Drosophila melanogaster: one gene and its partner. The protein of the gene in region 1 purifies or fractionates together with the protein of each later gene. This does not show direct contact. Each region holds a gene or a part of one and is shown in the gene's direction. Other genes may lie near its edges.

The links.
Region 2: the proteins of Hsf (region 1) and Ing3 purify together in Drosophila melanogaster (affinity purification with western blotting, with the first as the bait; one study listed by BioGRID). This does not show direct contact.

Annotation. Positions count from the first base shown.
Region 1 is NT_033778.4:18,129,803-18,136,742, reverse strand, and holds Hsf (heat shock factor), read left to right. Parts: upstream 1-2,108; 5' UTR 2,109-2,336; intron 2,337-2,634; exon of another isoform or gene 2,635-2,647; 5' UTR 2,648-2,662; coding exon 2,663-2,872; intron 2,873-3,630; coding exon 3,631-3,739; intron 3,740-3,801; coding exon 3,802-4,949; intron 4,950-5,008; coding exon 5,009-5,461; intron 5,462-5,553; coding exon 5,554-5,607; intron 5,608-5,697; coding exon 5,698-5,773; intron 5,774-5,836; coding exon 5,837-5,988; 3' UTR 5,989-6,440; downstream 6,441-6,940. Other genes in the region: Pcl (polycomblike), read right to left, coding at 1-819; Dlip3 (dorsal interacting protein 3), read right to left, coding at 6,738-6,940. UniProt on the Drosophila melanogaster protein: DNA-binding protein that specifically binds heat shock promoter elements (HSE) and activates transcription. In higher eukaryotes, HSF is unable to bind to the HSE unless the cells are heat shocked.
Region 2 is NC_004354.4:18,650,155-18,655,051, reverse strand, and holds Ing3 (inhibitor of growth family, member 3), read left to right. Parts: upstream 1-1,960; 5' UTR 1,961-2,088; coding exon 2,089-2,188; intron 2,189-2,264; coding exon 2,265-4,225; 3' UTR 4,226-4,334; downstream 4,335-4,897. Other genes in the region: CG6659 (uncharacterized protein), read left to right, coding at 1-245, 312-505, 631-756, 862-1,066; Hou (houki), read left to right, coding at 4,782-4,897.

The DNA of each region.
Region 1 (6,940 bases):
AGAATCCGGCTCATCCACAATCACAACTGCTGCTGAGGTGGTCGCGGTACCACTATAACTGCTGCTGGATACAGAACTGCTGCTGCAGCTGCTGCTATCCGCCGTGCTGCTGTCGATGAGGGGCAGGATGGCCTTGTGCTGGATGGCCGGTATGATGGGCGAAGGTTGTTGGGCCGTGGTAAGCGATGAACTTAGCGAAGTGGGCGTCTCCGTATAGTGGTTATTGATGCAAATGTTTATGCGGTCTAACACGACGGTGGAGGGCGGTGAGGTGGAATTGGTCACAGGCACCAGCGGCGGCGGCTGCAGTTGCTTGCCAGTTCCGCTGGCCGCCAGTAGATTGATTTGTCCCGCAGTTTGGCCACCGCCACTGGGCAAGTAGTACGACTGAACGGGAGCATATGTGGAGTGCGCTTCCTGTGGCGGCTTATTCAGACTGTATACACTTGGCGCCGTCGAGATGATTCGTATGTTGTTGGCCTTGAATGGGCTGCAGCTTGTTGCCGCCTGTTGCTTCGGTGGCGTTGATTGCTGAGCGAAACTGTTCGTGATCTGGATGGTGCTGGGATGTGTGGGATGCGTGGTCTGCGGCCCAGTGGTGGCATAGTATCGCTTGGCCACCGTGGCAGGTCCTACGCTGGGCGGCAGGATCTGGTAGGTGGTCGTCATCCACTGCGGCTGCTGGCCAGCTGGCTGTGCTAAGTAGCCGTAGGTGGCCGGAGGAGCTGATGGGACAGCGGTACTCGGCTGTTGCATGAACGGATGTGCCACGTTCTGCGGTGGATGATCGTGTTGCAAGTGAAAATGGTTGTTCATCATTGCGGCTGTGTGTGCGTGCTAGATGCGTTGATTTTTCCAGTGCGCAGTCTTTTGTGAAAAATATGGATCTTCAGTTCGATTTGCCGGCTTTTCGCGGCCCGTTTTTTCATTGATTTTGCGATTGTTTCCCGCTGATTAACACGAGCTCATTAATCTGGCGCCTTTTTCGTCGAATTTGTTGTTGCCCGCCGACACATACATGCACACTTTTGCTACACATACGGACTGGAGAGCGGGCCCTTTTGTATTCTCTGTGTCTTCCTCATTCGTACTTTTCCACACGCACCACAGGCACTTCTAGTTTCGGTTGCCGATTTACCCACCTTTAAGTGTGTTTCGAATCGTGCATTAAATTAGCATTTTGCTCTTATTGATTCGGCTATCGGCTTTGAACGTCGTTGTCCCAAGTTCATCTTTAACACCAGCGAAAATGCACAAAACAAATCACTTGAAAATTAATTTGTGTCAGCCATTTTTCAACATATGCCCACCAGTGTGACCGCATCCAACAATTGTTCTTTTCGTTACATTTTCATATATAAATCTACCACAACTTATGTATGTTATGGTAATAAAATTAACTTGATTAAAATAAATAAAGAAATATTGGAAATTTGTCACCACAATTTTACATTTTTATATTTTTAAATATATCGAAACGTATAAAATATACCATAAATTTACTTAATTATCCCCACTGTGCCGGCAAAGACTCAGCGGTCTCGTCCTGGAAAATACTAGAAAATACATTTAAATATTTCCTAAAGATTCAAAAACGTTAATATCATACATAATTTACATTTTAAATGTAGAGTGACAATTATTAAATCAAATTAAAAAAAATAAAACTAACATTTATATTAAGGTAAAACTTTTTGATTGTCAAAGTAAATCCTATAGAAATTTCAAAATGAATGTTAATTTTTTTAGTAAGTATGCCCTTTGTATGCTTTTATGTACAACTTATCTAAAATCAAACCAACTAATTTTAATTTTAACTCATAATTATCTTAAAGATATCAAATAGAAAATACCAAATACTAAAATCCCTATCCTTTGGTCTGCCGTATTAAAATCGACAGTTGCCTATCAATTAATGTTATGGGTACACATATCAATACTAGCTTTAAAAACAAATAACAGAATTTGATAAGTTTTTAGTATAATGATCATCTAGTAATTGGGGTCAATTATATGAATACGAAGTTGCGCGCCAGAAAATACTAGATAAAAACCAGAGGACCAAGCAGACAGCTAGCAATGGTATATATAGCAGCGAACTTTAGTTCGATAGGTTTTTACCAAATTGGTCACGCTGCGAACAGAAGCAATTTTACTTGACGGAGGTTTCATTAAATTTTCACTTGTGAATAAAACGCGAAAAAGCACTTAAAAACCGAAGAACTGTGTAAAACAAAAGCGGTACGCCAAGAAAGTGAAGTGTAATAACTAAACTAAACAAGTAAAACGCGAGTTTTTCACTTCGCGAAAGGTTTGTGAGCTGCAAAATTGTTAAGGTAAGTAGGTTGAGCAGGAGAAGAAGAACTGGAGCTCCATTTGTGCAAGTTGGTGGCTCGAATGACGCACTTGGCTGCAACCGAAAACATTCGATTCGATCAGAGCTGCAACTTTCACATCAAAATTGTACCCATATGTACATTTTACATATGTATGGTGTACCTGGACACGCACACTGATTCCCGCACCCATACACACACTTAAACACACACACATACAGCGGCGTGGAAAAGTGAACTGTAAACTGGAAAAAAAGCGTTTGTGTTGGTGTTGGTGTGCAGTGAATTCATTGAGTAGTACTCCTTTCCAGGCTGCTGGTCACTTTATGTCCAGGTCGCGTTCATCCGCTAAAGCCGTGCAGTTCAAGCACGAATCGGAGGAAGAGGAAGAAGACGAGGAGGAGCAGCTGCCTTCCAGGAGAATGCACTCTTACGGAGACGCCGCGGCCATCGGAAGCGGGGTGCCGGCCTTTTTGGCCAAATTGTGGCGCCTGGTGGACGATGCCGATACCAATCGCTTGATTTGCTGGACCAAGGTAAGCCTACGCCGCCATATTGTTTATTTACCTTTCCAGGGACTCCCCTCCCACCACATACCGCTAATCAGCATGGCAACAACAATGACTTGGCCATGCAGGTGTCTCAAGCTCTCTTTGTAGCGTTTCGCTCTCTGTTTTGTTGTTGCCCATGCCGCATCGCACGTATGCAAGTTGCCTTCCCCACACACTCATCTTGTTGTTGTTGTCGATGTTGCCATTTGCATGCGTACGTGCGTGAACTCTGGAAAATTTTCCATCTCCAACTGACAATCGAATAATTTCCCTTGGTCATTCAGTTGGCTTTTCATTTAAGATAAGAGTAATTGGTTCTCACTTAGGTTACCACACACTCTTAACGAAGAGTTTATTGATAAGCATAGCCTACCATTTTTTGTCGACAACATATACTCATTAATATGTGAGTATGAGCGTAACATAATCTAATTTTCAAATCCAATATTTTTAGCGTGTTTCACGCATAAAAATCTCACAAAAATTTGAATTTTAAATGAAAAAGTTGACAAATTTTATAAAATACGAATTTTTTTAAAACGATCATTTTATACATTATATAAGAACACTAGTTCCAGCTTTGGCTCGTAACTATAGTTTTGCATCTATAGATATAATTACAATTAGCTAATTATTTTCGTTGCTTATCGGTTTTGGTTTGCGGCCAACCGCTAATAGGTTTGTGGCAACTACATATCAGCACAACTCTCATATCGCTTCCGTTTTTCGTTTTATTTTTGCAGGATGGCCAAAGTTTCGTTATACAAAATCAAGCGCAATTCGCCAAGGAACTATTGCCACTAAACTACAAGCACAACAACATGGCCAGCTTCATAAGGCAATTGAATATGTGTAAGTAAATGAAACATCGTTGAAACATCAACTGAAAACTAAAAAAAATTTGTGCTTTGCAGATGGATTCCACAAGATCACCTCTATTGACAATGGCGGACTACGTTTTGATCGCGACGAGATTGAATTTTCGCACCCATTTTTTAAGCGCAACTCGCCTTTTCTACTTGACCAAATCAAAAGGAAAATATCGAACAACAAAAATGGTGACGACAAAGGTGTCCTGAAGCCGGAGGCCATGTCGAAGATTCTCACCGATGTGAAAGTCATGCGGGGTCGTCAGGACAATCTGGATTCGCGCTTCTCCGCCATGAAACAGGAGAACGAAGTGCTGTGGCGCGAGATAGCCAGCCTGCGCCAAAAGCACGCTAAGCAGCAACAAATAGTCAACAAACTGATCCAGTTCCTCATTACCATTGTGCAACCGTCGCGCAACATGTCTGGCGTGAAACGCCACGTGCAGCTGATGATCAACAATACGCCGGAAATTGATCGTGCACGGACCACCAGTGAGACCGAGAGCGAGAGTGGCGGCGGACCGGTTATCCACGAGCTTAGGGAGGAGCTTCTTGATGAGGTGATGAATCCATCACCGGCTGGCTACACCGCAGCCTCACATTATGACCAAGAGAGCGTCTCTCCGCCTGCCGTTGAGCGTCCGCGATCTAACATGAGCATTAGCTCGCACAACGTCGATTATTCGAATCAGAGTGTGGAGGACTTGCTGCTCCAGGGAAATGGAACCGCTGGCGGTAATATTCTAGTAGGCGGAGCCGCTTCTCCCATGGCCCAAAGTGTGAGTCAATCGCCGGCCCAACATGATGTCTACACAGTCACCGAGGCGCCCGATTCTCATGTCCAGGAGGTGCCAAACAGTCCGCCTTATTACGAGGAGCAGAATGTGCTTACCACGCCCATGGTGCGGGAGCAGGAGCAGCAGAAGCGTCAGCAGCTTAAGGAGAACAACAAGCTACGACGACAGGCAGGAGATGTTATACTTGATGCTGGAGATATTCTCGTAGATAGTTCGTCGCCCAAGGCGCAACGGACAAGCATCCAGCATAGTACGCAACCTGATGTGATGGTCCAGCCAATGATTATAAAGTCTGAGCCGGAGAACAGTTCCGGACTGATGGATCTAATGACTCCCGCGAACGATCTGTACAGTGTTAACTTCATCAGTGAGGATATGCCGACGGATATTTTTGAAGTAAGATACATTTTAAACATCTTATGGTAGTTGCTAACTCTTTTCTCTTAACTCTTTAGGACGCTCTGCTTCCCGACGGCGTGGAAGAGGCAGCCAAACTGGACCAGCAACAAAAATTTGGGCAATCGACAGTGAGCAGCGGCAAGTTTGCCAGCAACTTCGATGTGCCCACCAACAGTACGCTGCTGGATGCCAATCAGGCCTCGACATCGAAGGCAGCGGCCAAGGCGCAAGCATCTGAGGAAGAGGGCATGGCTGTGGCCAAATACAGTGGCGCTGAGAACGGAAACAACCGCGATACCAACAACAGTCAACTCCTCAGGATGGCCTCAGTGTTAGTAGACCAGAAGAATACGAATTCAAGTCGGATAAGCCATAATCAAGCGGCTAATTCTTACTGTTGCAGTGACGAACTCCACGGGCACTTGGAAAGCATGCAAGATGAGTTGGAAACACTGAAGGATCTGCTGCGTGGCGATGGGGTGGCCATTGATCAGAACATGCTCATGGGTGTAAGTATCAACATTGAGTAGAATTTCTTGTATTAGCTGTCCGTTTGTCCGACTCGATGATTATTTAACTTATGTTCTATTTACATGATTAGGCGCTTAGCAGGACGCCCAATTTTCAGTTGCCGGAGGACGAGCTGCTTTTAAAGGTCAGCACAAAACGTCCACATCTGGCCTTCATGTCTGAAAATTCCCCTGCAGAACTAACTAACAATGTGATTTATTTGTATACTTTATAGCTGTTTAACGACTCTGATCTAATGGACAACTATGGCCTATCGTTTCCCAATGACAGCATAAGCAGTGAAAAGAAAGGTTTGTTCGGAATTCAGTATTAATTCCTTCGCTTGAGACTAAACTATTTGATGATTCAAGCAGCACCCAGTGGCTCTGAACTGATTTCCTATCAGCCCATGTATGATCTGTCCGACATTTTGGACACGGACGATGGCAACAATGACCAGGAGGCCAGCAGGCGCCAGATGCAGACGCAAAGTTCGGTTTTAAATACGCCACGTCACGAGTTGTAACTTATATTAAGTAGCAGCAGCTCAGCCGTTAAATTGGCGAACAAATCGTTTTTAGTGTTAAATGCAAATCTTGACACGTTAATTTTCATCACCTACTCTGTCTAACCATTTAGTTGATTCATACGATAATCACATTAATAACCACTATAATCATATGAATGATCTGTATATGCCTTATGCACTATATATATGATATATAGACTAACCAGTTCTTGTTGTAGAAAGACTCGAAGAATCAGTAAAGATTTAGATTTATTTTGTATCGCGGGATTTTGCGGGCCCCAGCTCAGCAGGTAGAAGATTTTTAGTTTGCACTAACCGATCGAGAGTACAGTGAAAGCTGATCGCATCGTATACGATTTAAGATCGCACGCTTCAGTTTATACATTTTACACACTACTCTTATCATTATTTCAAAATAAATTGTTTAATGTCGCGTTGAGCTGCAAATGAAATCAAATGTGTACTTTTTCTTTGGAACAATGAAACTTCGTTTGCTGCTAACCTTGTTTTGTGCATAATTTTATTCGACTCAATGTTGATACAACTAAAGAGATATGGACTATGGACACATATCGCCTCAAATTAACCTAGAACCTTAGCCTAGGACTCGAAACGTAGAGTTACAAGTTGTTTGCAAGTATGTAAATACATAAATGAAGGGGGAGTGTGGGAAGTGTTCGAGTGCGTTGTCTACCACTAAGGATACTAATCGAGAATTGTACGTATAGAATGATGACTATGACGCCTTAGCTTTCGTCCTTGTACTTGGCGTCCTTCAGAATGTTGGCGAACTCGAACTTGACCCGCTCCCGTTCCGATCTCCGCATGCTGCGCAGTGTGTCCACCAGCGATAGGCAGTAGAGCTCGATGGGATCGTTGAAGGACGACGTCACTTGGGTCTGAAGCGGCGCTTGGGTTGCCTTGCGCTTGAAGGGATTGGTCAGAAAAT
Region 2 (4,897 bases), on another chromosome or scaffold:
GCTCCGTGGTGCCCACGGCCAACGCACAGATCCTCAACATGCACTACGTGTACAGCTTCCTGCAGATGCTAGTCTTCACCCTTATCGGACTCGCCGTGCGCAAGCTCTTCTTCCTCAGCTTCACGCAGGGCTGCGTCATCGCACCCACCGTCTGCTCCAAACTGTGGTACCATCGCCAGCGCAACATCTTCTGGTCGGTCTCGCTGGCCGTCTTCCTGCTCAGCATGTTCGATCCGGGCATGGTGGTAAGTTGGATACCGCCTCTATTGCTCACGGGAATTGTTGTGATTTCGTCGCCCTCTCAAAAATAGAACATTCGCGAAGAGTACTTCCCCACGCGCTACTCCAAGAGCGGTGACGACCTGGACAGCATGCTCGAGTGGATCAAGCTGAACACAGAGCGAGATGCGGTCTTTGCCGGCCCCGTGGACATCATCGGCACCGTGCACTTGACCACCAAACGGCCCATAGTCAACCATGCGCACCTGGAGATGCGTCAGATAGCGTAAGTTCTCCCAATCTGAGCGAGATAGCCTATCGACTATGCCCCTGCTCTGTCCCGCTCTCATTGGCATCCATATCCTGGCCATGCACGTACTGAAACTTCCGCCTTTGTTTATCTTTTTTAAGGGAGCGCACGGAGCACGTGTACTCGGTGTACAGTCGTCAGCAGTCGTCGGATATCTACAACCAGTGCGCCCAGCTGAAGATCCAGTACTTGATCATATCGCTGGACGAGTGCACCAACGAAGTGCGGTGAGTAGACGCAGACAAAATCCTCGAGACGGGCACTTGAACGCTTAATTGAGATATTGTATTCTTATCGCATTAATATGTACTTTTGCCTGCTTTCTACAACAGCGACGATTGCGATCTGCTGGCCATTTGGGATGACAAGCAGCCGGCCTACCAAAAATACCCACAGTTCTGCCACGAGCTGCTCCACAAGAACGTGCCCAGCTTCCTGAAAGTGTTCGCCAACGACCACTACGGCATTATCAAGATGTTCTCGCAGAGCGTCCAGATCAACCTCAAGCACAACAAGATGCCCGAGATGTCCATATAGGGCTGGCCGTCCACGGAGGCGGCGCGATGATGGAATGCTGGAATCGTGTTGTGTTGTACGTAGCTGTGTGAGCTGTGTGACTAGGATTTAGCATTTTACGATGTGTGTGTATTATGATTACGTTTAGTATTGCCCCAACCTCGGATGCCCGAACACATCTCGCACCCAATCCCAAATCCCGATCCCGCGTAGTAGCTGATTTGATATGGCAGATTGGCGATTAGAAGGAGGCCCCTTCCGCTAGATAGTAAACTGGATGCATTTAGCAGCTTGACTTGTTTCCGCGCCGCTGCGTTCAAACCTTGTTTGGATCATTCCCCGCACCCGCACCTGCGCCTGCGCCCTCGCATTCGAATAAGTTAATCTAGCCGAACGGAGCGACCTTAACTCTAAATACTTTCGTTAAGTTTAAGCTAAGCTTTTTACATTTACGCATGTAGTATACATATGACGATGAGACGCGTGTGGCAACGAAAGTGGCTGCATGTGGACGATGTGCATCCGGGAGCCACGATCCCAGACCCAAAAACAAGCGGGTAAACACGCATTTGCCAGGCAATAAGTGAAATAAAATGATATATTTGAAACAATCCTATGGGCATCTGTTGTTTGTTTATATCTTTAAAATGCTTACTCCTTATTGTTCACAACTTTTGAACAGTAAAAATGTGAGTATATATTTGTTTTGAAATATATTCACATTTTTAGTTTTATACAATACAGCTTATAATATGTAAATAAATAATATCATTAATTATGATTTCCATTTATACAATTTATTTAAATTTCGAATTTCACCTTACAGGGTTTGTGTCGCAGCTATCCACCCTGAGTTTGTATCGCGGTTTCGAGTCGATTGCTTAAATATCGATATTATCGAGCACTACCATCCGCATCTGGGATTAACTTCGTTTCGCCATCCGGTCACACACATACCCGCAACAATACACGAATTTTCATTAATAAACACACAAAGTAGTTAAAATTTTGGGTTTACACCGCGGCCCATTCGCATCGCCATCATGCTTTACCTCGAAGACTATCTGGAGATGATCGAGCACCTGCCGCAGGAGCTGCGCGACCGCTTTACCGAGATGCGCGAACTAGATCTCGCCGTCCAGAGTAAGTGCAACCAGAGAATCCGAATCTCTGCTTTTCGCCGGATCACTAACCAATAACTGCTCCTTGCGGTGCACAGACAACATGGACTCGCTGGACAAGAAGGCCCACATGTTCTTCAAGCAGTGCAAGCGCGACGAACTGCAGCACGAGTCGATGGACACGGAGTTCCACAGCCTGCGCGGCGAGTACTTCAAGGTGATGGAGGACGCCGACGAGAAGGTGGCTATTGCCACTCAGATACACGAGCTGGTGGAGCGCTACTTGCGCCGCCTGGATAGCGAGCTCTTCAAGTTCAAGTGCGAGCTGGAGGCGGACAACAACGGCATCACCGAAATCCTCGAGCGCCGCTCTCTGGAGCTGGACGGCAACTCCACTGCAGCCACCGCCCTGCTGCTGAGCATGAACCAGAAGGAGAACCGCTACTACGGCGCCAGTTCGGCCAATACCATGGTGAACAGCTCGACGGGACACGCAACGGGTGCCGCCACTGGCTCCTCCGGCATTGCACTGGTCAGTGGTGCTGCCGGAACGGGCGGTGCCCTCTCCAGCATCTCCACCGCCCAGTTGGGCTCAAGTCAGCGCCACCGCAAGCTGGAGAAGCGGCGGGAAACCATATGCACGGTGCCTGTTCAGGAGAAGCGCGCCAATCTGAATCACTCACTTCCCGTGGTCGGTTCGGGCTCCACGACTGCCGCGGCAGCCTCATCTTCGTCCGCCACAACGGCCGCAGCAGCCGCCAGCCTGGCCAGCGCGACGACTGCCCAAACTCATGTCTCCAACCACATTGGCAGCATCGCCGCCACTCATCTCACCCTGCCTGTGGCCATGGGCGTGGCCGGCGGCAGTAGCAGTCTTGCCAGCAGCTCGCTTGCCACAGGAACGGGTTCGCTGGTCCGCCAACTGCCCACGAACCTTACCCACACCGTGCTAAGCACCTCGGGTGGAGCGACCGCCGCAGCGGCAGCGGGCGGCAACTCCACGTCCGTGGTCGCTGCTGGTACGGCCCACGGGCACGCCCATGTCAGTGGGCACTCGGCCGCCGGGGCCACAGTCACCTACAACCTGCAACAACTGGGCGGAGGAGCCGCCGCATCTAGTGCCATTGCGGCGGCAGCCAGCCAGGCGATCGTGGCCACACAGCAGATGCAGCAAGGCCGCCGCACGGCCAGCCTCAAGGCGAGTTACGAGGCCATACACGGAACAGCGGGCACCACCACCGACTTCTGGACCCAAGCCGGTCAGGGTGGACTGCAGCAGTCGACCGCTGGATCGGTGACAGTGGCTGCCGGCACAGCGTTGGCCACCGGCGCAGCTGGCGGTAGTAGCACCGGCTCGCATCATTCGCACCACTCACAGTCGCACCATGGCGGCCATGGGCACGGACATGGTCATGGCCATGGGCATGGTCATGGGCACGGACACCACAGCAGCAGTGGTCACGGCGGCGGGCACAGCAGCCACCACCAGGAGAAGAAGCAAAAGAAGAAGCTAACCACAGCGCTGACGTTGCCCACAGTGCAGCCGACGGCCGGCTCCTCGTCGGGCAACTCGATTGGCTCGTCGTCGTCGATTAGTCTGGAATCGGTGAACAAGCTCACCACGTCGGCGGCCCTGGCGGCGGCATCGGCCACGACAACCTACATGTCTGTGGGTGGACAGGCGCTGCTCGCCATGACCCCCGGAGGTGGAGGCGGAGGCAACTTGGCGGAGAGTTCCGCTGAGGGCGTGCCCGCCGGAATGATTGCCATGAACCTGCCCACCACCACGGTAACGCCCGGCTCCAGCCTGACCATCGGCGAGAACGGACTCGTGGTGGAGCAGACGAACGAGGGCGAATGGTCGTACGATCCCAACGAGCCGCGCTACTGCACCTGCAACCAGGTGTCCTACGGCGACATGGTGGCCTGCGACAACGACGCCTGTCCCTACGAGTGGTTCCACTACCCCTGCGTGGGCATCACCCAGCCGCCCAAGGGCAAGTGGTACTGCCCCAAGTGCACCGCCTCCATGCGGCGCCGTGGCAACCGAAAGAACTGAGGCTGACTGCGCCTGCTGGCGCCCCTCTTCCGTGGCGGGGGCGGCGGCGTAGGCACCTGGTCGCGTCGCTAGCGGCTCTTATACTTGTAAAGTGACAAATAAACAAATTCAAAGTATTCAATAAAGTTAGATCAGCAATAGAGCAGCTCTTTATATTCAGTTCGGAACGCAAAGGCGAATAGTGGATTGGGATTGCACTAATATATCTTAACTAAAGTAGTTTAAGCCAGCTTCTAGCTTAAATAACAAATTTAGGGTGTTTTCGCTACAATAATAATAAACAATAAAATATAGTTCATTCGATAGTTTGATTTCAAAATTCGCGCCCTCTTGGCAATCAAACAGCGTGACCATGCTGCGCTTGCTAAAGCACTCTGGTCACGCTGAACAGAAGAAAAGAAAATTTCCAGCGTCATTTGTGCATTGCAAGTTAGTAAACAATAAAAGCGCATAAACAGGGCTAGGAAAAGCGGGAAGACGATTAGGTAAACAGAATTCGACGCAAATCGGTTGGAAAAACGGCCTCAAGATTGGCAAGATACGCAAGAGCAAGAAAATGAGCTACAACGAGAAATCGGAGGCCATCATCAAGGAGGAGTGGCTGCAGCGCCTGGAGCAGTTTCCCTTCAAGCAGGCGGACATGAATCGCCTGATCATGAACTACTTGGTCAC